Linked DNA regions of Oryctolagus cuniculus. The protein of the gene in region 3 interacts with the protein of the main gene of each other region in a pairwise test. Links are inferred from orthologs where the notes say so. Each region holds a gene or a part of one and is shown on either strand. Other genes may lie near its edges.

What was found.
Region 1: the proteins of KRT40 (region 3) and CCDC120 interact in binary tests that used the Homo sapiens proteins (3 or more experiments, as listed by UniProt). The link is inferred for Oryctolagus cuniculus from reciprocal best matches to the Homo sapiens genes KRT40 and CCDC120.
Region 2: the proteins of KRT40 (region 3) and DLGAP2 interact in a two-hybrid assay, tested with the Homo sapiens proteins (2 studies listed by BioGRID). The link is inferred for Oryctolagus cuniculus from reciprocal best matches to the Homo sapiens genes KRT40 and DLGAP2.
Region 4: the proteins of KRT40 (region 3) and ZBTB16 interact in binary tests that used the Homo sapiens proteins (3 or more experiments, as listed by UniProt). The two-hybrid records come from large-scale screens. The link is inferred for Oryctolagus cuniculus from reciprocal best matches to the Homo sapiens genes KRT40 and ZBTB16.
Region 5: the proteins of KRT40 (region 3) and DOCK2 interact in binary tests that used the Homo sapiens proteins (3 or more experiments, as listed by UniProt). The two-hybrid records come from large-scale screens. The link is inferred for Oryctolagus cuniculus from reciprocal best matches to the Homo sapiens genes KRT40 and DOCK2.
Region 6: the proteins of KRT40 (region 3) and PIMREG interact in binary tests that used the Homo sapiens proteins (3 or more experiments, as listed by UniProt). The two-hybrid records come from large-scale screens. The link is inferred for Oryctolagus cuniculus from reciprocal best matches to the Homo sapiens genes KRT40 and PIMREG.
Region 7: the proteins of KRT40 (region 3) and JOSD1 interact in binary tests that used the Homo sapiens proteins (3 or more experiments, as listed by UniProt). The two-hybrid records come from large-scale screens. The link is inferred for Oryctolagus cuniculus from reciprocal best matches to the Homo sapiens genes KRT40 and JOSD1.

The regions. Positions count from the first base shown.
Region 1 is NC_091453.1:34,214,785-34,217,527, reverse strand, and holds the end of CCDC120 (coiled-coil domain-containing protein 120), read right to left. Parts: coding exon 2,090-2,743; intron 1,613-2,089; coding exon 1,498-1,612; 3' UTR 501-1,497; downstream 1-500. UniProt on the Homo sapiens protein: Centriolar protein required for centriole subdistal appendage assembly and microtubule anchoring in interphase cells. Together with CCDC68, cooperate with subdistal appendage components ODF2, NIN and CEP170 for hierarchical subdistal appendage assembly.
Region 2 is NC_091439.1:118,473,480-118,477,516, forward strand, and holds the start of DLGAP2 (disks large-associated protein 2), read right to left. Parts: upstream 2,801-4,037; 5' UTR 2,175-2,800; coding exon 1,958-2,174; intron 1-1,957.
Region 3 is NC_091448.1:21,607,952-21,611,927, reverse strand, and holds the start of KRT40 (keratin, type I cytoskeletal 40), read right to left. Parts: upstream 2,801-3,976; 5' UTR 2,735-2,800; coding exon 2,288-2,734; intron 1,612-2,287; coding exon 1,529-1,611; intron 1,270-1,528; coding exon 1,113-1,269; intron 464-1,112; coding exon 302-463; intron 224-301; coding exon 98-223; intron 1-97. UniProt on the Homo sapiens protein: May play a role in late hair differentiation.
Region 4 is NC_091432.1:105,955,740-105,959,239, reverse strand, and holds part of ZBTB16 (zinc finger and BTB domain-containing protein 16), read right to left. Parts: intron 3,319-3,500; 5' UTR 3,229-3,318; coding exon 1,961-3,228; intron 1-1,960. UniProt on the Homo sapiens protein: Acts as a transcriptional repressor. Transcriptional repression may be mediated through recruitment of histone deacetylases to target promoters. May play a role in myeloid maturation and in the development and/or maintenance of other differentiated tissues.
Region 5 is NC_091437.1:56,569,429-56,573,658, reverse strand, and holds the start of DOCK2 (dedicator of cytokinesis protein 2), read right to left. Parts: upstream 2,801-4,230; 5' UTR 2,694-2,800; coding exon 2,651-2,693; exon of another isoform or gene 2,647-2,650; intron 1-2,646. UniProt on the Homo sapiens protein: Involved in cytoskeletal rearrangements required for lymphocyte migration in response of chemokines. Activates RAC1 and RAC2, but not CDC42, by functioning as a guanine nucleotide exchange factor (GEF), which exchanges bound GDP for free GTP.
Region 6 is NC_091448.1:50,103,201-50,107,190, reverse strand, and holds the start of PIMREG (protein PIMREG), read left to right. Parts: upstream 1-1,190; 5' UTR 1,191-1,330; intron 1,331-1,750; 5' UTR 1,751-1,782; coding exon 1,783-2,061; intron 2,062-3,754; coding exon 3,755-3,990. UniProt on the Homo sapiens protein: During mitosis, may play a role in the control of metaphase-to-anaphase transition.
Region 7 is NC_091442.1:115,289,247-115,292,480, forward strand, and holds the end of JOSD1 (josephin-1), read right to left. Parts: intron 2,973-3,234; coding exon 2,873-2,972; 3' UTR 501-2,872; downstream 1-500.

The DNA.
Region 1 (2,743 bases), on a different chromosome or scaffold from region 3:
GAGCAGCCAGGCCAGCACCAAGGCTCACTTGGCTAATCCTCTTCCTGCAGCGCCGGCACCCCGGGTTCTAGTCCCGGTTGGGGCGCCGGATTCTATCCCAGTTGCTCCTTTTCCAGTCCAGCTCTCTGCTGTGGCCCAGGATGACAGTGGAGGATGGCCCAAGTGCTTGGGCCCTGCACCCACATGGAAGACCAGGAGGAAGCACCTGGCTCCTGGCTTCGGATCGGCACAGCGCACCAGCCAGTAGCAGCCATTTGGGGGGTGAACCAACGGAAGGAAGACCTTTCTCTGTCTCTCTAACTCTGCCTGTCAAAAAAAAAAAAAAAAAAGAAGAAGAAGAAGAAGAAGAAGTGGAGCATCCAGGACTTGAACCGGTGCCTGTATGGGATGCCAGCACTGCAGTCAGGGGCTTTACCTGCCACGCCACCATGCTGGCCCCTATTTTCCAGGCTTAATTAAAGGTGTGGCCTACAAAACAAGGCAGAGGAGGAGCACATGGATTCGGTTTACACATTTATTGTAGAAATCCCCTTCCAGTGTGGGTAGTGTCTTGGGCCCAGATCCATTTGTACAAAAAGAAAAGTTTTAATACCAGGTAAAGGGGGGAGGGGAACCCCCAACTCCAGTTAATCACAGACAGGTATCATAGAAAACACAGCTTGTGTGATTTGTTTAAAAAGTGAGTGGAAGGAAAGCCAAGAAAGATGTGACGTGGCCTGTGGCCCATAGCCAGACGTCACCTGAGGATTTTACTGGCATCTTCCGACGCCAGGTTCAACCACAGCAGCATCCCAGGACACAACACCCCCGAGGGCTCTGCCCCTTGCTCCTCCTTTGGGGCCTCCTGATTGGAATGGTCAGGGCAGAGGCCCAGGGCACAGGCAGGGATGCAGCCTCCTTCAGGGACCACACCCAGAGACTTCAATCCTTCCAAGTGTAGGCAGAGCCCAACTCCCCCAAAACTGCCCTGGTGGGGAGTGGCAGGGAGTTCTGTGCACACCAGAATCTCCTGGCTGCCCCAAACAGGGGCTTGAGACCCTACATGGTCCATTTGGTGGAGGGGGTTCCTGAATGGAACAGGCTGGGCATGGGGACAGGAATGAACCCAACCAGGACAAGATCACAGTTTCCCTTTTATAAAATGCCTAGTGCAGGGTGGGGGGCAAGGGGAAGACAGTGAATACCTAAATCACAACTGTAAACAGAAATGGAGGAGGGGGCGTGGAATCCCCACGACATCACTCCCATCTCCTTTAAGCTGGCTAGGGTCCCCCAGTCCCCAGCACAGTGTGAGAGGAGAACCAGGGTGTCAGACACCTTCCTGGGCCCACGCGGAGCCAGGGAGGGGCATTGGAAGACCAGCTGGGTGCCCTCCCCGCCCCCCACCCCACCCTGCCCAAGACTGAGAGCAGCCACATCTCAGGGCTCAGCGAGGTCAGCTGTGTGCTCCCCAGACTGGAGTCATGCCCAGGCCAACGTGAGATGTATCAGAAGGGGTCAGACCAGCGTCCCCGGGGTCTGGGGGTCAGAACTGGAGGACTGCTCCCCCTCTAGCGTCAGGTCACTTAAACGAGCGCTCAGCTCCGGGGGGTACAGGAAGTCCGCGTAGTATCTTTGGAAGGGGTAGCAGGAATCCGGAAGACAGGTAGAGAAGAGAGGAAAAGACAGACAAGACACAGAAAGAGAGAGGAAGAGGTTCGTTAAAGAGGTGGAGGCAGGCACAGGACAGTACCTCCAGGCTCCCAAGCACGGGGCACAGAGAAGACGAAGAAAAAGATGAAGGCACGGGATGCCCCTTCCTCTCAGCACCCTGGCTTCAAGGCTTATCTTCACCTGACCAGACTAGCGAAAACCTACTCTTCTACAGCTCGCGGAAGACCTGCTGCTACCAAAGCCCAAGCTCTGCCTCCACCAGGACCCCAAGTACTAATGCAGGTTGTGCCCGGTACGGTGCCCCTGTGCCAAGGCTGCCGCTAGTTTCCCTGTGGTCTAAGTCATTAGCTCTCATGCCTGGCTGCTCCCTGGCCTGGGTAACCTTACCATCCGCCTCAAGAGACCCCGAACCCGTCAGTAAAAGCACCCTCCATACCTGCCAGAGACAGGGGGCGCCGTGAAACTCCTCGAGTGTGGGAGAGGTGGCTGGCTGGGAGCCCCGTACAGCGCCTGGCCCACCTCATAGCATCGGGCGTGGAGGAAGGACGGGTGTGGTGGGCCCATGTGGGGGGGCACAGGCCGGCGCTGGGGCCCCGCAGCCAATCCCGAGTTCCGGATGTACCAGTCCCGCAGCCCCTCCAGGGCGAGATTCTTGTGGCCACTGCGCTCGCCGGCAGGTGGGATACGGGTGGGTGGGGGCATCCACAGCAGAGGGTTGGGATGGACCTCCGGACCCTCAGCAGCCTCTGGGGCCAGGCCACAGGGCTTGGTGCGGGTAGCACGGGTGTGGGGGTCCTTGCTGCGGAGGAGGGGGCTGCTGCCGTCAGCTGCATACACAGGTGGTGGGCCGGGCAGCATGGCCAGGAGCCCATCCCGACGGGAGAGGGGTCCTGGGACCTCAGCTGCAGGCAGCAGCTCCCCCCAGCCTGCTCCGCCGCCACCGCGGGGCAGGCCCCGGTCGGGGGAATAGTCCAAGAGGAAGTCCCCGCACACAGGTGGGAGCCGGGGGACCCCGCGGGAGGCAGGGGCAGCTGAGCTCGGCCGGGCGGCCCGGGGAGGGTCTGGGGGGCCGGCTGTGCGGGAGGAGAAG
Region 2 (4,037 bases), on a different chromosome or scaffold from region 3:
CTTGTCCTGAGAGGCACTCTTGCCGTCACGGCACACGGCAGCAGTGACCACACCACACGGAACGGCAAAGTGCAGCTCCCATGTGTCTGGAGCTCAGCCAGCCTGCCTGGGCAGAGCGTGGGCTTCCCTTGCTGGGGTCAAAGGTGACTCCCTGGAGAGAGAAGCTGCAGACTCAGCGGGGTTTATTCACGAGTGACAACCCTTGGAAAGCAGAGACTGTGGGTTTAAAGTGATGGATGTTGAGAGTGGGGCTGGTCTGCCCTCAGAGCCACAGGTCCTGGCATAGCGCCCGTGTGACCGTGAAGGTGTGTGAGTGCCACACTTGCAGATCCATGCGCAGGCTGCATGGTGCCCAGCGTGGACACCGCCACTGCCCCCAACCTGGCCTCTAGTTATGCGCTTTGCCTTTGATGACAACTGAATGGACAGATCTGATTGAAAAGTTACATTCATCCCATGCAAACACGTGTTACTGAGTGAGCCCCGCAGACCGGGCCGAGGTGCAGTGACGCCTGCCCCCGGGCAGGCACCTGTCAGACCCTGACGCCAGCATTCCGCAGGCACAGCGGCCCCAGGTGAGCTCCAAAGGCTGACCTCCAGGCTGTTCTGAGGACCTTGGCACCCTGTGCGTGGAGGCCTCTCAGCTGAGTGGCATTAGTGATGAATGATTCTGCGCGAGGCAGGACTTGTTGCTAAATAAGAAGCATGAATCACAAAGTGGGGGAAAGAACCCTGACTTGTTCTATTCTGCGAACAAGCGTAAGGTCACAGCATCTCCGCCCCACACCAGGCGTGCAGCTGCACCTGAGGGCTGCAGGAAAACTGTGAATGAAACCGTGTCCCCCCACCCCCCAGAGGTGGACACAGTGGTGACAGCTCCTGATTGGTGCAGTCTCCGTGCTAGGTATTCTGGCTGTTCTCAACAAGAACTTTCAGAGCGAGCAGTGACCTGGACGCCTGGGTGGGCAACGGCCCTCTTCACAGACACCCAGTCTCATCAGGAAGGGCTGGACGCGGCAGGGCCACTGAGAGAGACACAAGACAAAACAGCACAGCAAGGCGAGAAAGCCGGGGAAACGCTCGCAAAGCCCAACCGGAATCTTCCCCCAGAGGAGCAGGTGCAGGGCACTTGCTCAGGCTTCCCCGCTGTGACGCCCCAAGCCTGTGCTCGCAGAAGCACGCCTCGTCTGGAGCCGCACAGCCCCGAGGACACTCGCACACCGCCTGCTCCCACAAGGCAGCGGCCGCTGCTCGGTCAGCACTAAACGCTGGGATCGCGTGCTTCGGAAACGGCTTTCGCTTTCAAAGCCAAACACAGGGCAGCTCTTCCCTGCGTCTCCTCAAACACCCCCTTCCTTTGATCCTGCTTCCTGCAGCTGCTGTGAGGCCCGAGTACCCGACTGCACTGGGCTCACAGAGGCACCTTCCCCGCAGGCTTCTGCCCCCAGAGTCTGCAGATCAAGCACCCGTCTTAACAGCTGCAGGGCCCTGGGTTTACTCGCTCCCCAGGGAGCTGGGCAGCAGACCAGCAGCTGCACCCTGGCTACGACAGACAGAGGCCAGCCAGCCAGAGCAGGTCCTGCATTACAAAGTGCTCTGGCATTCCGTGGCCATCCGAATCACGGAGAACTGGAGACTGAACTTGTCTTCTGAGAATGACAGCGCTGCAGTCCTGGGCGGCCGCGCGAGACCGTCCCCCAAACCCTCCATGGCAACTGACAGGCTCCCAGCTGCAGTCACGCCAGCCCCTGGCTGCTGCCGCTGCCTGTCCAGAGAGGAGCGCTTCACTCCCAGGAGCAGCGTAGACCATGGCTGGCGGGAAGGCAGGGAGACATGCCGCCTGGAGCCTGGGGCTGCTGGGCGCCCATCCGCTCGCCACCCCTCCAGCCGAGGCCACCCTGCTGGGCAAGTGCCCACCCGAGATGGGAAAAGTGAGGAATGACTCATCCGGACTCACCGCCCGCAGCGTCCAGACGCAGAGCGGCAGGCTCCCGGCAGACAGGGCACCGGGCACCCCAGGGAAGCGCCAGCACCGCTGCCGCCGTGGAGCAGGCCAGGAGACTCAGCGTGTGTCCAGGGCTCCGGTCAGTCACAGCCTGGCCGAGGCCGCCACGGGGCTCTGCAAAGCAGGCACACTGCAGCGCGGCAGGCACAGGATGCGATGCATGTCCCATATATTCAAGCGTGATAGAAAACACGGATCTGGAGTTGGCTCCATGTGGATGTGGGGGCGGCCTGGCTCGCAGCACAACAGGCAGGCGCCTGGCTCCTGATGGAATTAGCCATGGACAGGGGCGTCTGAACGGTGGCGCAGTGCTGTCCCCCGGGACATCAATTACCCGGAGCAGGTGCCTCCGCCTCCTGCCTGCCAGATCAAGTCGCTAATCTCATTTCACAAATGATCCCTATTTAGACAGGAGCCACCTATTGTGATGATATCATTGGCTCTGGGAGCCAAACATGGGCAGCTTCCTGGGGAGCGTCACGGCACTGACGACACGGCCTTTAAAGAGCGAGAGGGCCGGGGCTCGCACAGGCCTGGCCACAGCACGCAGCACCACCAGGCTGGCTGACCCGGGATGAAGAGTGACAGAGGGAGCACACCTTTCCCAGCTGGGCTCACAGACGGGGCGGGGCTCAGCACACAGTGGGCACGCAGTGAGTCCCCCAGCTCCTGTCACATGGGGCACAGCACACAGTGGGCACTGCTGCCAGCTCCTCCAGGTCCTCTCACATGGGGCTCAGCACACAGTGGGCACGCAGTGAGCTCCCCCAGCTCCTCTCTCACATGGGGCTCAGCACACAGTGGGCACGCAGTGAGCTTCCCCAGCTCCTGTCACATGGGGCACAGCACACAGTGGGCACGCAGTGAGCTCTCCCAGCTCCTGTCACATGGGGCTCAGCACACAGTGGGCACGCAGTGAATTCCCCCAGCTCCTCTCTCACATAGGGACAGCACACAGTGGGCACGCAGTGAGCTCCCCCAGCTCCTGTCACATGGGGACAGCACACAGTGGGCACACAGTGAGCTCCCCCAGGTCCTGTCACATGGGGCTCAGCACACAGTGGGCACACAGTGAATTCCCCCAGCTCCTGTCACATGGGGACAGCACACAGTGGGCATGCAGTGAGCTCCCGCAGCTCCTGTCACATGGGGCTCAGCACACAGTAGGCACTGCTGCCAGCTCCTCCAGGTCCTCTCACATGGGGACAGCACACAGTGGGCACGCAGTGAGCTCCCCCAGCTCCTCTCTCACATGGGGCTCAGCACACAGTGGGCACGCAGTGAGCTTCCCCAGCTCCTCTCACATGGGGACAGCACACAGTGGGCACACAGTGAGCTCCCTCAGCTCCTGTCACATGGGGCTCAGCACACAGTGGGCACGCAGTGAGCTCCCCCAGCTCCTGTCACATAGGGACAGCACACAGTAGGCACTGCTGCCAGCTCCTCCAGGTCCTCTCACATGGGGCTCAGCACACAGTGGGCACGCAGTGAGCTCCCCCAGCTCCTGTCACATAGGGACAGCACACAGTAGGCACTGCTGCCAGCTCCTCCAGGTCCTCTCACATGGGGCTCAGCACACAGTGGGCACTGCTGTGAGCTCCCGCAGCTCCTGTCACATGGGGACAGCACACAGTAGGCACTGCTGCCAGCTCCTCCAGGTCCTCTCACATGGGGCTCAGCACACAGTGGGCACACAGTGAGCTCCCCCAGCTCCTGTCACATGGGGCTCAGCACACAGTGGGCACGCAGTGAGCTCCCCCAGCTCCTGTCATATAGGGACAGCACACAGTGGGCACACAGTGAATTCCCCCAGCTCCTGTCACATGGGGCACAGCACACAGTGGGCACTGCAGTGAGCTCTCCCAGCTCCTGTCACATGGGGCACAGCACACAGTGGGCACACAGTGAGCTCCCCCAGCTCCCGTCACATAGGTACAGCACACAGTGGGCACGCAGTGAGTCCCCCCAGGTCCTGTCACATGGGGCACAGCACACAGTGGGCACACAGTGAATTCCCCCAGCTCCTCTGTCA
Region 3 (3,976 bases):
CACGAACTGGGGATCTCTGCCTTGGGTTGTGGGAAAGGGTGTTTGTCAGAGCCCGATTTATCAGTGACAAGGCGGACACCTTCTTTGCCATACGCACCAGGCTTTGCTGTGCCTGAAGTTCAATTTCCAGCGTGTTGGCTGTGCGTTTCAGCTCCAGCATCTCCGTCTGGCAGCCCTGCAGCTGCTCTGCACTGGACAGCTGCTGCTGATTCAGCTCCTCTGTCTGAAACACAGGCATGGTTAGAGAACCCTGCCGAGGCACATGCGGGGAGTCCTGCTCCCATGTTGCTTCGGGCCTGACCTGAGCAGCGAACCACTCCTCCACGTCTCTGCGGTTGTTGGCGAGCAACGTCTCATACTGACAGCGCATCTCATCCAGGACCTCGTTGAGGTCGATGGTGGGGGCGGTGTCCAGCTCCACACTGAGTCGGTCACCGAGCTGGCCACGGAGCAAGTTGACCTCCTGAAAGTGGGAAGGGAGTGAAGAATGTCACAGAGCAGTAGGGCAAAATCCATCCGACACACAGTGGCATCCCATTCCCGAGTTGTGAAATACTGAGTAAAAGTGTAGGATTTTAATTCTGATGCCCTGGGCTAATTCTCTTTCCCCCCCCTTACAAGTGCCCAGTTTCTTCTGCAAAATTGGCATAGTAATTTTATTTTGTTCTGGGGGATTATTGTGAGATATGGAAGAGTTAATATGTGCATACATATAAAGAATTTAGGAAGTTGCTTCAAAGAGGATGTTCTCAGTAAATGTGAACTGTTGTCATCATCCACAAATGCCCAAAGAGAAAACACATCTATTACATGATTCTGCACTTCATTTTCTGGTTCATCAAAACGAGATCAACACTTTCGTATTTTATGATTTTAAAAAGTTCATAGAAATGGGATATTTAAAACTGGTCTGGATACCAGAGGCGTCTTCATGCCCTATCTGAGGTGGACGTCACAGTGGAGTGGTCAGGCTGAGCGCAGTAGAGCCTCGAGGAGTGTTAGTTCAGCTTCAGCAGCGTTCTCCCAGGTTCAGTTTGCACACATCAACTTGAACTCTACCAGTGTAACGTTTCCACTCTTAGACTCCTTCTGGGTTGCTGCCTCTTTCTCACCTCTTTATGGCTTTTCTTAAGGCAAAGGAGATCATCCTTCAGAGACTCCACTTGGGCTTCCAGATCAGATTTGCACAGGGTCAGCTCACCCAGGATCCCACGCAGGCCACTGATGTCATTCTCCACCAGCTGACGCAGGGACAGTTCACTGTCGTACCTTACACAGCAAGAGAGATACATGCAATGCTGCTTTCCCACACACCGTGTAAGTGCTGGGTGCACTGGGGGATTGACACACAGGCTCAAGGAAGCCGCATGCTGTCGTTTATTTTGTGTATGAAATAATTACAAATTTGAGCTTTTAGAATATTTTAGCTTGAAAAAATTATATAGAGAATATTCTGTGTGTGTGTGTCTGTGTGTAAGAGACACAGAAAGAAAACCACAAATTATATTCAAATTGCAGGTAAACTTACTTTGTCCGAAAGTCCTCAGCAGCCAGTTTGCAGTTGTCGAGCTGTACAGCAAGTCTAGAATTCTCTGCTTTCGTGCACAAGATCTGAGAAGCAAGTTATTAGGTAAAGTAAATGGTTCTTGGAAAGAAACCTGAACACCTGTACCCTTCATGGCTCTGCCATTAGTTGTCTGTGAGGGGATGTAAGAAAGAATCAAGCTGCTTTCAGCCTGCTTGCTTGTTAACTTTGTGACTTACTGAAGAGAAAAGGCAGTGCCAACTTAGAATCAAAGCACAGACATGAAAAGGGCTCAGGACATTTCCCAATATTGCTTGGCAGTTGAATGCTGTTCAGGTCTTCTGCATCAGTAGTTTGTATTAGAACTGTATCCCCACCAACAGTAATAGAAATTCATCCGTAAGAGAAGAAAATGATTTCTAGGTGAAATTGTATGATATAACAATGGCATTTCAATTCTGGTGTAAAAATTGATATAAATGTGCAGGGATGCATATGGAAGTGCCACACACACACTCTATAGGAGATACAGCTGAAGACCACCAGCCCCTGTCCCCATCATAGCCCCTTGGTGAACAGGGGCAGCTGTGGGGCTGCTGCTGACTCCTAACCTTCAGTCCTGTGCCCTCTCTTTCATATCTCATGAACTCACAGATTTCGCCTTTCCTTTGGTTTCTTTCCGCAAGAATGCCTCTTCTAAGGTAAAGGTAAAGCCAATCGTAGATTAGGAAGGTGGAACATTAAGGTGACGAGACACGGAACCTTTTGCTGGAGATCTTCAATGATGTTGAAGTAGCACTGACAGTCAGGGCACGGCAGTGGGATACTCTCTTGACACTGTTCTCGGATCTTGCACTCCAGCTCGGCGTTGGTCTCCTCCAGGCTGCGCACCTTCTCCAGATAGCTGGCGAGTCTGTCATTCAGGAGCTGCATGGTCTCTTTCTCGTTGCTGTTGAGCATCCCATCCTCACACCACGCGCAGCTCCCTGCCAAGCATGGACTGTCACAACTCCCAACCAAGTAGCATGGCGTGAGGCAACGGGTGGACAAGCAAGACCTGGAGAGGAAGCCGGGGCTCCGACATCTGCCTGCAGAGCCGTCACTGGGGAGACAAGTCCTTTCCAGGGAGTGGGCGGAAGCAGGTGCACAGCCAGAGGCTCTGGCACAGGACTCAGAAGAGCAGTGTGTGTGGGAAGCTTCGGAAGTCATTCTTGAAGTGATGAGCAGAGAGTGTCTGCAAAACTCCTTTGCTTTGACTCAAAAAGTCTCCTTCCTTCCTGAGACTTTTATATAGCACTTCCCTGCCCTGGGTATTTACCGGGGCACCAGATGTTTTCTGTACCCTGTCGGTACCAGTTTCCATACAAACGTTTCATTAGTGTTGTTTATTTATGGAGGAAGAGTTTCATGCCTCATAAAAGAGGGCTAACTTTAGGTTACTAAATCAGGCCCTACACTATTTCCACAGGTCAGTAGAACAAAATTCTTATTTCAAAAAATCATCATAGAAAGTATTGTCCTTTTGACAGAAAGAAAAAATTCAGCCAAGCAATAATGACAGGTACAACCCATCACCAGGAGGAAAACTACATGGCCCCAGAGTTTGATTCTGTGCACTGATCCTTGTGTCTACTTTCGAAAGCTAACCTGTAAGACCTGTGCCTGTTTATGGGGCACGGCGCAATATTTCAACACATGTACATGGTGTAAACAGCTCCCTTCAGCATTTCCACTTCCTTATCTTTGCTTTAAGTTTGGAGCCTATGGACTCCCCTCTTCTACTTTTAAAATGAGCACTACAACTCAGTAACGTTTATTTGTTTGTGTTACCGCCATAAAAATGGTGAGTGTGATGGGTAATATTGCCCTGCTTTTTGCGAACAGTGAGATGTGTATGGCTTTTAGTGTGTGTGCTGTGCACATGTGTGCCATCTCCCTGTATAGCAATAGAAGAATGCTGTGCACTGCTGATGGGAGCAAGTTGTTCCTGGCAGAAAAAAACATAAATTGGTCATCAAGACCTGGAATTGGATCTTTGATTTTCTGAAACTTACCTCCTCTGTGTTTCCTGCACATCATTTTTGATCAGTTATGCTATTTTTTAAACTTGTATTTTTTTTTTTTTTTTTAACAGGCAGAGTGGACAGTGAGAGAGAGAGACAGAGAGAAAGGTCTTCCTTTTGCCGTTGGTTCACCCTCCAATGGCCGCCGCGGCCGGTGTGCTGCGGCCGGCGCACCGCGCTGATCCGATGGCAGGAGCCAGGTACTTATCCTGGTCTCCCATGGGGTGCAGGGCCCAAGCACTTGGGCCATCCTCCACTGCACTCCCAGGCCACAGCAGAGAGCTGGCCTGGAAGAGGGGCAACCGGGACAGAATCCAGTGCCCCGACCGGGACTAGAACCCAGTGTGCCAGCGCCGCAAGGTGGAGGATTAGCCTAGTGAGCCGCGGC
Region 4 (3,500 bases), on a different chromosome or scaffold from region 3:
TGACCCCTTGGAAGGCAGCTCCTGAACTCAGAGCCACGGAGGATGCTGCAGAAACAAGACCCAAACAAGGTGAAGGGACTGAAGGGCTCTGTTCACCTTCGCCGTGACCGTGAGCCAGTCCAGCCCCAGAGGTTTCTGTGTCTCGCTTCATCCATTCAGCACCAACCCTGATGACCAGCTCCATTTTTAGCCAAGAGTAACACCAGGCTCGGCATGCTGAGAACGGTCAGGGTCACAAGCTCTCACCACCTGACGCGGCTAACTCCGCCACCCAGGCTCTCTGGAAAGGAACAGCAGTCACCCCTCCACCTCCCCTGGGAGGAGCGAGGGCCCCACCAGAGGGGAGTGACGTCTTTTGTGTCCGTCTCGGGAGTAGGAAAGAAACTGAGATGCAACAAGAGCTGGGGGAAAACCTGACGTTCCATCATCACCCACTTCTCAGCACACGGCTGCCAGAATCCGCCCCGGAGAGGCCAACTACCCTATGTGGTCAAGTCCAGGAGGGGTTTCCTGCAGAGGAAAAAGTGTGAGCTCCAACCAACCCAGCCTCAGTCTGCTTCCGAGCGGTACCCATGCAAGGAAGACACACCTCAGTGGCAGTTTCTTCACGCCCACCAGGGAAAAAAAAGGGGGAGGGGGGCTGCATTTAGGTCAGCAGTACTATTTTCCACCCAGGAGAGTCTCATAGCATCCAAGCAGGTTCTGGGGAGGGCAAGCGGCTCAGCTCCCAGAAGCCCCACCACCACCCTCACTTCGCACCCCCGCACCTGAAGCAGCACAGAGGCATGGGGAGGGGGGCAGTGAGCAGGGTCCACGCAAGACCAGCCACACAGCATGGAGAGGTGAGCCGTGGGGGCAACAGAAACTAGGCTTCTTACCCCCGTCCTGGGACCCAGGGACTGGAGGGTAAGATGACAGGCACATGACTCATCACGAAAACCTTCTCCCGAGTTACTCCACTTCTCAGGAGCAATCCTCAAAAGCCTGTTCCGTAGGCAGGATCTGCTTCAAGACTGGATGACTCCAAGATTCAGCAAAGCACAAGGGGCTGAGGACCTGACTTCAAATCCAGCCCTGCCTCTATCGACGTAACCCTGCAAAGTGGACTTTACGTCCGAGTCTTAGCATCTCGCCTTGCAAAAGAAGAGCCCTGCCTACCTACAGGGCTAGTGGGACAAAACTGCAGCTTTACCTGACGTGCTCTGTCGCAAACCGAGCCTGTCCTAACAGCTCTGCGAATGGTTACTTCAGAGAGAAGCAAGCAGAAGCCCAAGGAAAGCCAATGCCGGCAGCATTTAACTCTGGGTGAGCACAGCTGGGACAGGAGTTAACACTTCACAGGTGGCAAGGCCCAGACTTTTATACCCACCCAGAATTTAAATCAACCCCCCCCCAAATGTGACTGCAGGAAGAGAAAATAAGAAGGGACAAGGAATGTCAGGATGCACATTCCTGAGAACGACACACGGCACCTGCAGCGGCTACTCCTGCGGCCTCTGCAGCTTCTGGCCCCTCCCATGCTGCAGACAGCACCAGGCTGCCATTTTAGGAGAGGAACCCAGTACCTGAACCTGGTAACCAGATCCAGGCCACAGGGGGCCTCAGCCTGAACCACACCTTCCCGCCACCCCTGTCCATCACTGCAGGTCCAAGAGGATGGACCAGGCTACAGAAGAAACAAATGGGACCCCAAAAGCAAAAACAGATAGAAGGGCCTAGTCACACCCTGGGCCTGTGAGTTCCCTGATGCTTTGGGAAGACCACCTGACCCCTCACCACGCTGTGAATGGTATGCCCCATCCCCCCAGGACTTTGGAAGAAGTATGTTTTTTAAAAAATATATATAAATAGCAAGGAAGAGAAGGGAGCTAGGCCCCCAGCCCTGGAAGCAGCCAGGGTGGAAGGCAAGCTGTGAGGGCTGCACGTCCAGCAGCAGGTGCGAGACTGCACCAGGGCCTACCTGTGCTGCTCCACAGCCTCGTTGTCAGGGAGCTCGACCCCACACACGCTACACTGCTCGCCCATGCTCCGGCTCTCCGACTTCATGCCCACCGCCAGCTCGCCCAGCTTGCTGAAAAGCTCCCTCTGAATGAAGCCCTGGGGCAGCAGACCCCCGTAGGTGCTGAAGTCCATGGAGACGGCCAGCGCAGGCTGCACATGGAGCCCAGAGGTCACCGACGCCGGCATGCTCAACACGGCGTCAGCCTTGTGGTTGGGCAACACCGAGTAGATGCCCAGGCGCTTCTCCGCAGGGGCTGCTGGGTGCTCCAGGCGGCCCGGGGGGCCTTGGCCAGCCTCAGCCGGGGGTGGCAGCTGCTCGGCGCTCTCCTCCCGCCCGTAGTGCAGCTCCCTGGCACTGGTGATGACGCTGCTGCGAGTTGGGGTCCCAGGGCCCTCTTTGCTCCTTTCCTCAACTTTGTCCCCCAGTCCTCCCGAGACACTGGATTCGACTGGCCCAGGGCTGTCCTGGCCAGGTACCTCGTCTACCTGCATCATCTCCGTCTTCACCTCGGCCACGCCAGGGTGCCGGCCACCCCCAGCCAATGTCGGCTCCTCGGGTCCCGCAGGTGGCTGAAGCGTCCCCTGCAGGAGAGACTGTCCTATGGTCATCAGACTGTCCACGGCAGCTTTGGTGGGACTCATGGCTGAAAGCCCAAACGAGGTGGAGACGGAAGGGCTCTGGTCCACCAGGGGCCCAGCGAGGCTCTGTCCAGCCACACTGGCGTACCCACTCTCCTCGCTGGAATGCTTCGAGATGAAGATGTTCTTGAGGCACCGAGCCTTGCGGTCCTCTTCCTCCTCAGCCCCGCCGTCAGCCATCGTGGCCTCCGTGTCGTTGTCATCTGAGGCCTGGATGGTCTCCAAGATCTTCAGGCACTGCTCCTCCAGGTACTCGATCTCCAGGATCTCGGCCGCATAGAGCAGGTCGTCCAGGTCCTCCGCCTTGGCCTGCAGCGTGGCCGTGTAGGCATACTCCAGAATCTGCTGGAAGGTCTTTGGCGAGAGGAAGTCCAGAGTATAGTGCTGGCTGTTGCGGTGGAAGAGGATCTCAAACATCTTGCTGGTGCAGGCCAGCACCGTCCGGTGGGCGTGGAACTCCTGGCTGTCCACCATGATGACAACATCGCACAGCGTCCCAGCCAGCCGCATCTGGTTGGCCTTGCACAGCAGCCCCGTGGGGTGGCTGGGGTTCTGCAGCTGGATCATGCCCATCTTCGTCAGATCCATGGCGCTGCCCTCGGCTCAGGCATGAGGCTCCCCTTCCGTCTGTGCTCTGCGTGGCGGGGCAGGGTAGGTTTCCTGGGCCGATGCAGGAGACTGAGAGAGAGAAGAGGGGAAGAGGCAAGAAAGGATGAGAGAACAAGAGGCAGACAGGCTAGTATCTCCAGCAGGAATAATGCAAACCCTGCATCATGTCCCGGCTCACCCAAGCCCATAGCAAGAAGGAGTTTCCCCAGAATCTCCGAATCTGCCCGTGCAGGCCCAGGGACGATGAGAGT
Region 5 (4,230 bases), on a different chromosome or scaffold from region 3:
GCAAGTCATCCAATTTACTCCTTCCAATATCCTCATTCATAGAAAGTTCCTCTATCTGTACATATCACAGTTACAATTTATATGTTTACTGATTTATCTACTTATTTTTTGTCTTCCTGATAAACTATAAGTTCCCAAAGAATTAGGCATTGCACTGGACTAATTCTAGTAACCTGGCCAGGGGTTTACATGAGTCTCACCCTGGCTGCCCACCGACAGCAAGATAACAAGGGAGCTGGCGATTACCTGTGATGAAGCAGCTACTGGTGAGCCCAGCCCTCCAGACCCGCCAGCACCAGCAGCCCTGTCTAGCAGGCCTTAGGAAGAAGAGCTGCCACATGCTCTGATGAGGAATGGGAACAGGAAAGTGTCCAGAGACCTCCAAGTCCTCCCCACTCCAATCCCTTATGCAGCGTCAGCTCCTCGTCTTCTTCCAAGACCCCATAATCATTGCTTCAAATAATCTTCATAAAAGAAAGCTTTGCTATAGCGAAGCATTAGTAGCTGGACTTCAAAGTAAGAAAACCGGAGCACAGATTAATCTGCAAATCGTAATTCTATCAGAGCTGGAACCTGGCCTTCACAATCTCAAGCCACTTTCTCTTCTTTCTGTTGTGTGACTCCAGTCCCCTGTAGGACAACCTAAGCCTCACCTTTCCCTTCCAGCCACACAGAGCCTACAGAGGAGGAGATAACATCCGTGGCTTCCAAAAGTTACCTGCGTGGAGAAGAGATCTCTTTAAAGCACAGGCACCTGCCAGGCAGTGCTGATTCCCTCCACACACAACCAGCACACCCTTCACTCCCATAAAGTATTGTTCATAACTAGGCATGGAAAACATCAGCTCCACAAGTCCAAGAAGTCTCTGGGCTGCAGCCTGATAGTTCTCCATCGCTGAGGCCACAGAGGCAGGGTAGCCTCTGCTAGGGAGGGTGAGAAGCTTACTCCTTCCTGTAGCCCCATTCCATCTGAGACATCATGTCCTCAACTGGGCCCAAAAGGGATGTCTAAAAAATAATAACTGATAACATTTCATACAGATTGCTCTGTGTAGCTGCAACTCATTTAGCCCTCCCAGATCCCTGAAAAGTGGGTGCTGTATTATGCCCATTATACAGACAAGGAAACTGAGGCATGGCAAGAGTAAGTGACTTGCCTTATGTCATGGGGTTTGAAACTGTTAGAAGCTGGGATCTAAGAATATGCCACAGAGCCCGTGTGTTCATAACCACATTATAAGGTCTACACAGCAGCCATGCACACAGCTCTTGTGCAGTGGGTAGGACTCTGTCCCGCTGCTCTCAATCGCCAATTAACTGTCCTAGCTACCCTGGACCACCAACATTGTCCCCTGCGTGCCACCCAGGCATCTGGGATCTCTGTCCACCCAGCCTCTCTCCATACTGGCTTGAGCATATATCTGCTTATGCCTTTCCTCTTCTTAGAAACTCTCTTATGGCTCCTTACTGCTTACATGGGGGAAGTACAAAATGAAACAAAACAAACAAAAACAAACAAAACCAAAAAAAAACTCCCCAGCCTGGCATTCACAGAAGTCCTCCGCCTTACTGGGGCTCAATCATTCCTTTAAGGCACCCTCCCCTCCAGCCAAGACTTGTGACCAGCTGTTCTGTCCCCACTCAGCTCTCATCTGCTAGACCACTCTGGTCCCTCCACCTGCATGGTCTGCCTTGTTGAACGGTAATATTCCCTTTGTGAATGTTACTAGCCTCACAGCCCAGCTGGGAGGGCCAGCGTCAGAGAAGCTTTCCATTTTACAGATGGGGACACTGAGACCCCATTAAGGATAAGGATTACCAATTGTTCATCTTCAAATGTCCCCCACACCACTTCATCACCAGGACCCCCTGCATCCCAATCACTCTTGGTGCTAGAGTGGCCCCATCAGTGCCTCACTTGTTGAATCTTCCATCTCCAGGGTGGGGACCGCTATCAGCCTGTGTAGCAATCTCCAGAATGAGTTTTAAGCTCACACTGAAGTTTACCAGGGATTGCACCACAGAGGCCACTCAGAGACGCCCTACCTGCTACCACTTCCGCCCGCGCGCCTGAGCTGGAGGCAGAGGCCTCTGGGAGCTTAGATGGCTGACGCTGACGAGGCCCTGGGGCGCTGAGTGAAGCATCCCGCCTTCCCGCCCTCCAGCCCCCGGCCGGCCGGCCCCAGGCTTGCAAGGCTCTGTGGATGCTTGGCCAAGTCAGGGGCCACCTGCCCAAGGAGGAGGAGCAGGCCGCCTGAGGCAGATAGATCCTGTCGCTTAGGAGAGGTGGAGGCAAGCAAGCTGGGCCTCACCAGCCAGGAGAGCAGGACAGCCAGGCCTTCACCAGAGGGGGCCATGGAGTCCACCCCTCGGCCACACAGGCGCTCAGCTTGACCCATGTCGCAGGCGACGACGCGCCCGGCAGAGAGGGCGCAGCTGGGCGGGCAGGAGGGCGCCGGCAGGGCACAGCCCGCGGGCTGGAAAGCCCACCTCCTCCCCGGCTGCTCATTCCCGCCCCGCGGGCCTCAGGCAGCCTGATGCAGCCCCTGTAACCGAGGCATTGACCGCGCCCCAGGTGGCGCAGCATCTTGCCGCCCGCGACCCTCCAGCACCTGCCCGGCTCCGACTGCGGTCCCACGCGCGCACCTACCCACGCCGTGCCGCTCCTTGTCAGTCTTGCGCCAGGGGCCCATGGCTGGGCCGGGGGCCTGCGGGCCTCGCGTCCTCCTGTGGGGAAGCTGACAGGGGGTTGTGAGGCGCTGTGCCGGGCCCCACTTCCTTCCTCTTTTCAAACTCCCTCGCTGGGCCCGCCCTCCTCTCCCCGGGGCTCCCCGCCTTCCTCCCCCTTCCGGAGGCGAGGGACGCTAGAGAAGACTGGGGGTTAGCGGTCCCCCGCAAAACCTGGGGGTCACTCGCAGCCTCTCACCTCCCGGGGCGAGGGGGCAGAAACCTGGCAGAGACCTGGAGCCATCCAGGCCACATCAGTGCAGAATTTTCTGGACTCCTGAGCATAGAGACCAGAGAGACACTCCCGCACCCTACCTCCTTAGTGTGAGATTTGGTGTCAGGCTGAGATTCAAATCAAGACTGGGACAAATTCCTCAACTCATGGAAACTTCAGTCTTCTCAGTCTACAAAATGAGATACTGGAACCTACTTCCTGTGATGATTGTTAGGTCTTAGAGAAAGCAACGTACACAGCAGGTGACAACAAGAGGTAATTCGTAGATTTGTGGGCCCTTTTGGTGACACAAAGCCAATGAAAAATCTGATGAAAGTTCACTACACTCTCCTCTGAAAATAGACAAACACACCATTTCCAGACAAGGCCAAGAGATCAACAGTGCTCTAAGAGCTAGTAGTAGTGGACAGGAAAAGGGACCTCTGTGTTAGGCTAAGGGAGACATTTCTTGCATTTTGTGTTTGCTCTTGGAACAAATGAAACACAAATGTCTCTTTGATCCACAATGATAAGATTAAATTTAAGCCTTTCTGAACTTTCTTAACTCTCACTACCCTTTTCTGCTTTACTCTGTAGTCTTTAAGACAGATGACGCCGTATCACAGCAGGCTGGCAGCTATGACAAAATAGTGATTTTACCTGAATTCTCTCTTTTATAATTCTCTAGTAGCACAAACGAGGCGTTGTCTTTTAGAGAGAACCACTGGGCTAGGCAGAATTCCATCAGAGGACCAGAACCAGTCAACTAGCGAGAGATTGACTTATTGCAAGGAATTCGATTATGCAATTTTAGCCACCTAGGCAAGTCTGCAAAGCAGTACGGCAGGCTGAAAATTTGCAGCAACAGAAACTGAAACTGTTGTCAACAAGTGGAATTTTCTTTTTTTTCAAGAGACCTCAAGTTTTCCTCTTAAGGCATGTCAACTGATTGCATTAGGCTTTCTCCACATTAGTGAAGATAATCTTTACTTAGTAAAGTCAACTGATGGTAGATATTCCTAACATTTACAAAATACTTCACAGCTACACTGAAATTGGTTCAGAAAACTGACCACTGATTGTAACAATACTATAAATCAGGCTATACATCAGAGGTTGGCAAATATTTTCTGTAAATGTCCAGATAGTAAATATTTTTAGTCTTTGTATGCTAAGAAGCAAAATCAAGGATATTATATGGGTACTTATTTATAAGGAGAGAAAACAAACTTCCACACTTTTTTATTAATAAAACTCAAAATGACATTAGTCATTGAATATATATTTTT
Region 6 (3,990 bases), about 28 Mb from region 3:
CCCTTGTTCAGCATGGTGCCTGAGCGTGGGCAGGCGGGGCGGCGGAGGCCGAGCCTGTGCACACCTCAGTAGGACCTGGGGAATACATGGGAGAAAGAACGTGGGGTGGGGAGGAGGAGGATCGTGGGAGAGAGCAGGTGAGTCAGCTAGGGCGTGCTGGCCTTCCCGGCCTGGGGCACCAGGAGGGTGGGGCCTGAGTGTTGGGTGAGAGGCCCAGGCTGGGGGGGGGGGGGGGACAGCGCAGCGTGAGGGTCAGGCACAGGGACCCGGCTCCAGAGGGATGGCGTTCGGCTCAGGGAGTGAAACATGGGCCCCTCCCCCACCTCTCTGTGCCTCAGTTTCCTCCTCCCTCTGCAGGGAGGCCAGGTGAGGGCCCGAGGCTTCTGTGCTGCAGGCGAGTTAGGCACTGTGCTCACCGTGGGCGGTGGTCGCTGCTGAGACCACCGGAAATGAGGCAGAGGCCTGAAGACAGTGCTTGGAGGAGGCGGGGCGCGGGGGGGGGGGCAATCTGCAGCACCCACAGGGAGCCAGCGGCGGGCAGTGATGCTTTGAGGTCTCCTAGGGACGGGCTGGTAATGGGGAGAGCTTTACAGATGGCGGGAGTCTGAGCTTGTGTGGATGCGAGGGGAGGGGTCGGGGTCTCCCGACTTAGGATGGCGAGGCCGGGGCAGGGGGCATGAGCAGGAAGGCAATGGGGGTGGGGGGCGGCAGGAGGGCAGGGGCAGGAGGACAGGTAGGCAGGGCAGAGGGGCAGGTGTGCTCCCGTCTGTCCCCGCTCCCAGGTTGTTTGATGGGGAGTGTGGAGCCTGTCTCAGGAGGGAGGGGTCTGCACCCGCATTCCCCAGCTCTTTAGAACAAAATCGCTGAGCGAGAAAGAACAGGCCACACCCCCTGGCAGGAGGGGCAGGGTCCCTGGAAGACCAGGGATGCTGCAGGCTGAGTGCCCTCCCAGTGCCCGGGACCCCAGGGGTCGCAAACGCCTGAGCCCCTTACAGGCTCTAGGAAGGGGGCTCGGGCGTGAGGCATGGACCGCGCGCCGCTGCCTGGGGCCGAGCACACGGGATGGGGCTGCGGACCCGGCAAAGGCGTGGGCAGGCGGGGCGGCGGAGGCCGAGCCAGGCGGGGGTCTCGAGCGATGAACAGGAGCTGGATTTGCAGCCGTGGGGGAAGGCGACCAATCGGAGGCCCGGAGCCGTGGCCAAGGCAGTATCTCGGAACCAATCATCTCTGAGGACAGGCCCGGGGCGGGGCCGCGCGGAGTTTGAAATCCGCAGCGGTGGGCGAGAGACCCGCTGTACTCGGATCGGATCGGCGCCTGGGGTGATCGCAGGTCGGGCCCCGGGGGGGCTGCTGTTCGGGATGGGGGAGGGGTCTGCCCAGGCCGGACACGGACGTGGGGAGCATCCAAGGGAAATCGGGCTGTCCGGGGGGCGGCCGCGGTGTAGGTGGGAGCGCGCCGGGTCAGGGCCGCGTTTTGAGACCCGTAGAGCCCCTGCCTGTCTTCGGCTCGAGGCCTCGGGCCCAGGGACGCCGGGGCCGAAAGGACAGCCCATGGAGAGAATCCAGGCCCAGGCGGCGGGAGTCCGCGGACTTCCCCTTGCGGGAAACACCCCCCTTTCCAGCACCCACAGCTACGAGGGCCCCACCCCACAGGCCTCCATCCTGTCTCCCTCCCCGGGCCTAGGAGCCCTGCGGAGCCTGGAAGGGGGCCAGCGATGCCCGCTGACCTGCCCTCGGCCCTCCTCCCCAGGGCGCGGTGAACAGAGGCGGCACAGCCAGCAGATGGCCTGTCGGTGGTCGGTGCGCCGGAGATCGCTGCTGGAGGAGGAGCAGCCGGAGGAGGAAACCACCACGCCGGCCGCAGCCGGCCAGCAGGATGCGTCCGCGGGGGCCCTGGGCTCCCTACGCAGACAGTTCCAAAGAAGGCTGCCCCTGAGAGCGGTCAGCCTCAACCTTGGGGCGGGCCCTTCATGGAAACGCCTGGGAACTCCGGAACCAGAGCAGCAAGGCCTCCAGGCGGCAGCTCGATCAGCCAAGAGCGCCCTGGGGGCCATGTCTCAGGTAACAGTGGCTGTGCTGTCCAGCTCCATGGACCCTCAGTGCTGGATAGAGCCCACCTCCAGGAGCCCCTGGAGAGTCTAGACTCCACCTGACAGGGACTTTGCACCTCTAAGAATTGCTAGCATAGAGTGGGCATTCAACAAATAGCTGAATGGTGCGGAGAAACGGAGGGAACAGGTGCTCATGATACAAGGGGTGAGAGCCATGTGTCAGCCAGTAGGGATGGTGAGGGGACGGCCAGTGAAGCCCCCCCCAACCCCCCCAGCAGGTGGCTCCATGGAGAATCAATGGGAAAAGGCAAGCACAGCTGGAATGGTGTGAATCCCACCGAGACCCAGGGACGGGGGTGTGGGCAAGGATTGTGTCTGGGTGTGGCCAGAGGAAGGGGGGGCTCTGATGTGTGTGGACCCCCAGGAGCAACCAGAAGAGGGAAGGATTCCAGACGGACGGGAAGTCTGCTCAGCTTAGTGTCGGGAACTTTCTCTTGAGCTGCCTGATGAAAAGGGTGGTGGGGCAGACACACCCGCGGGAGCCTGGGATCCTGGGTGCTGGACTCGCCCAAGGGAGAGCCGCTAACTTCAGGAGCTCCTCGGAAGGTAGACCCCCAAGAACCCGGTGTCAGATGAGACGGGCTGGCACCACGTCATGACGTACACTGGTGTGAGGTGCCCAAGGGCCTTCCGCCTGGAGCTGGGAGCATTCCGAGATGTCCCGAGGAGGGAAGGAGCCAGGGCAGCCATTTGGCCCCGTGATTAGGCTGCATCCCGTATCCAAGGGCCCAGGTTCAAGTCCTGACTCCCGATTGCAGCATCCCACTAAGGCAGACCCAGGGAGGCAGCCGGTGAGACCTCAGATGGTTGAGTCCCTGCCGCCCACATGGGAGACTGGGATGGAATTCCTGGCTCCTGACTTTGGCCCCTGGCCATTAAGGGCATCTCGGGAGTGAACCAGCAGGTAGGGCTCCATCTGTCTCTTTTTGCCTCTCCAATTACAACAGAAGAAAGGACAGAGCCATGGTAGCAGCCAGCCGTAGGAGGAGAGGGCTGGATGCCCCACTGGGCGCTCTGAAGGTGTGGGGAGAGGGCTGCTCCTTCAAGCCCTCCACAGACAGCTCTCTGGGCCCAGCCCATTAGTAAGAACCCTGAAATTGTTCCCACTGCCCCGGGCACAGGAGAGGTAGAGGGAGGTATCTTATCCAAGGCCACATGACATGGAATTTAGCTTGGGGCATGCACCAGCCCTCCCGCCTCTGGCATGCCACGGCATTCAAGGTCTTCACAGCCATCACCCACTGCCGTGATAGGCCTGAGAGTTCGGGCTTGTTCCTCTGAGCAATAAGGAGCCACAGGAGGGTTTCGAGGGGCCAAGCGTCCCGGGCAGAGCTGCCCTTTGGGCCAGCATGGAGGACAGATGGGAGTGGACAAGCGAGAGCAAAGGCAGGGAGACAGGTTTCCTCAAGAGGATGTGGGCTTAGACAACTGGAGTTCTATGAGCCAGGGCAATCCTCCCGTGATCGACCCCTGGGGGTGTGTCTTGGGTGGGGGAGCTCCATTTCCCATCCCTCAGGCTCGAGACTGAAAGCAGCCTGCAAGTACGGGACAAGTGGGAGGCCAAGGCTTGGAGGGAAGGCCGGGAGTGGCAGGTGACGCACCTGGGTTTCACGCATGCTCACCTTGCCTTGTAACTGTCACAGAGGATCCAGGAGTCCTGCCAGAGTGGCACCAAGTGGCTGGTGGAGACGCAGGTGAAAGCCAGGAGGAGGAGGAGAGGGGCGCAGACGGGTGATGGCTCCCCCCCGCACACCCTGAGCCAGAAGAGCACCCGGCTGTCGAGCACCACCCACCCAGCGCTGGGCTCCCGGGAGCGGGGGTATCGCCGCCTCTCGGCCCAGACAGGCCCCCGTGCCCACCTGCTGCGGCGGCCAAGGAG
Region 7 (3,234 bases), on a different chromosome or scaffold from region 3:
CTCCAGTGCTGCTGCACTCCACCAATGCCCGCCGCCTGACCAGGGTCCTAACCCAGGCCAGACACCCACTTTGCATTTTTTTAATGCTGAGACCAGGCACACCACCAATGAACACCATGGTGATACCCTTCCTAAGCCTTCAGTGGGTTGTTTACTGGGACACTGCACAATCTGCAAGGCAGTATGGTTCCAGATTTAGACAGCAGCTGGACGCCCACCTAGGCCGTCTGACGACCCTGCTGTGTGGTCTGGGTGTGCTGATGCAGGATCCCGTCTGGTACAAGCTGTGCTGGGCAGGCGGGGCCTTCAAACCGGGAGGCCCACCGTTTGTGAGCTCCCCGGGAGCTGCAGAGTGCCTCAGGGCGCTTCGCAGTGTTCAGATGAGTAGTGCCTGGATCTGCAGGTGAGGGCAGCGTGGTGTTGCTAGCCTCCTCAGAGGACGATTCCCCTGCAGTGGCATCATACTAAGGCTTTTTCTGAACAGTTCAGGCAGGTAAGAGTTATGTACAGAGTTTTCCATTTTTAATATTTGGTTAAACAAAATACATCTTCTGTAAACAAACCCAGCACAAGGCCAACAAAAAAGGGGAACAAAAGCAAAACCAGCCTAGGGGTGCCCCTCACTGGGCATCAGGGCCGGGCCTCCCTCCCCTGCAGGAAGTGGGCTTCCTGCCCTTGGGCGTCAGCCTGGGTCCCTGTTCCTAAGCACCAGAATCGGGCATGAGCAGAGAAACCGGCCCTAAAGTCAAAGCGTCTGCATGTCCCATCGGCGCGTGGACTCTGCATGCACGGGGCTCCCGGGAGGTGCCGTCTACACAGGCCCGGGCAGGGCGTGCAGAGGAGTTTCCTCTCCAGGAAATGGCTTACTATCGCCGCCGGCGCCAGTGGACCCCAGGGCCTGGGTGGGCTGGGGTTCTGGCTGCGGCGGCTGGAATGTTGTGCAGGGCAGGAGCTCCCTGGGTGCCAAGCAGGTCTGCTGGAGGATGGGACCACAGCAGTGGCCGAGGGCACAATGCGACGGCTGCTTGTGGCTTGTCACTCGGCATCGGACACGGCCAGACGGCGCACGTGCAGAGAAAGTGCTGGTGTGGACATGCACTCGAGTTCGGGGGAGCCACGGCCTGAGCCCCACGCCGGCTGTGCCAGCGGCCGCTCTCGGGCCTCCTGAGACCGAGCTGCCTCTGGGCAACCACAGGCGCCCTGGGGGTCCACTTACTTCCTCTCCTGTTTTCCAAAGTTGAGGGAGAAAAGTGGCCTACAGCTATTTCCGGAGGTAGGGGCGGGTCAGCCAGCGGCCTGTGCCGCACAGAACCACCAGCGCCAGGCCCCTGCCTCCCTGGCAGCTCCGGCTTCTACCAATCCTGGCTGCCGTACTGCGTGTGTTCTTCCTTCACCCAACTCCATCCCAAATTAGTAGGGTTTGATGCCAAAAGCAGACTTATTTTTTCTGATTTTGCCAGAAGGGCCATCTGGGAGGACTGTCTGGCCCCACAGCCTCCTGAGTCCATGCGGCGGGATGGCAGGGACAGAAGCGGGTGCAGGGCAGCAGCCACCGTGCCATGCCGCTCCCGGCGTGGCCCCGCCACCTCGGGCCTGGCCTCCCCTGCGGGCGTGGGGTCTCCGTGACCTTCTCGTGATAGGATCGGAGGCGAGCTGGACGACCCTTCAAAATGGGGCAAAGGGCGGGAGACGGCCTGGTGCGGCCGCTGGGGTTTGGAGACGTTTCCTGAGAGACCCCATGCTCTGGGTCCTTCGAGCCGGTCACGGCTTTGTGTTCCCTCGTCCTCAGACCCGCGGGTGCCACAGGGGAGGTGAGGCGGAGGCGGAGTCTGGAGCGGTGGCGCCTGAGCAGAGCCGGGGCGAGCCTGAGTGCCTCTTCCTGCTCGCCTTGCCTTCCAGGAGCACTGGAGGCTGGGTGGCTCTCACGGCGCCACGCGTCTGTCCTACTGCACTGCCAAATCCGAAGGGACCCCATGAGATGCTTGGGGGGCAAGGGCAGCCCCACTGTGGAGGCCACAGCACATCCGAGGACTGGAGGGCGGGGCCAAGGTGAGGCTGGGTGGGGCTGTCACACAGGACTGGAGGGCGGGGACAGGTGGGACTGAGGACTGGAGGGTGGGGCTGTCACACAGGACTGGGGGGAGGGGCCGGGTGGGACTGAGGACTGGAGGGTGGGGCCGGGTGAGGCTGTCACACCAGGACTGGAGGGAGGGGCTGTCACAGGACCGGAAGGCGGGGCCAAGGTGAGCCTGGGTGAGACCTTTACACCAGGACTGGAGGGCGGGGCCAGGTGGGACTGAGGACTGGAGGGTGGGGCTGTCACACAGGACTGGGGGGCGGGGCCGGGTGGGACTGAGGACTGGAGGGTGGGGCTGTCACACAGGACTGGGGGGCGGGGCCGGGTGGGACTGAGGACTGGAGGGTGGGGCCGGGTGGGGCTGTCACACAGGACTGGAGGGAGGGGCTGTCACAGGACCGGAAGGCGGGGCCAAGGTGAGCCTGGGTGAGACGGTTACACCAGGACTGGGGGGTGGGGCCAGGTGGGACTGAGGACTGGAGGGCGGGGCTGTCACAGGACTGGGGGGCGGGGCCGGGTGGGACTGAGGACTGGAGGGTGGGGCTGTCACACAGGACTGGGGGGCGGGGCCGGGTGGGACTGAGGACTGGAGGGTGGGGCCGGGTGGGGCTGTCACACAGGACTGGAGGGAGGGGCTGTCACAGGACCGAAAGGCGGGGCCAAGGTGAGCCTGGGTGAGACGGTTACACCAGGACTGGTGGGACTGAGGACTGGAGGGCGGGGCTGTCACAGGACTGGAGGGCGGGGCTGTCACACAGGACTGGGGGTGGGGCCGGGCCGGGGCTGGCTGGGGAGTCACACGTCTGCCCTCCAACTCTGATGGGCTTCCACCTCTTCTGGCACCACCAGCAAAAGTTCACAGTTCTTTCCTCGCAAATGATGCTTCAGAAATTTCCTAGGGGAATAAAAACAGATGAGAAGGGCAATGAAACGCTGGTGACCTGCACACTCCGCCACACCCGTGGCCGTCCTGCAGGCGCTCCCGCGGCCACTACTGGGGCTGCCCCTCCCGGTCAGCGCTGCCCCTGAAGCCTGGCCCTCCTCACGCGCCAGCCAGCAGCTGTCGCTCAGAGCTCTCTGAAGGTCTGTAACTGCTGAAAGTAAGTTTCCTCCTCTGTTCCCTGCCTGACTGCCTGGCTGCCTCGCTCTGACAGCAG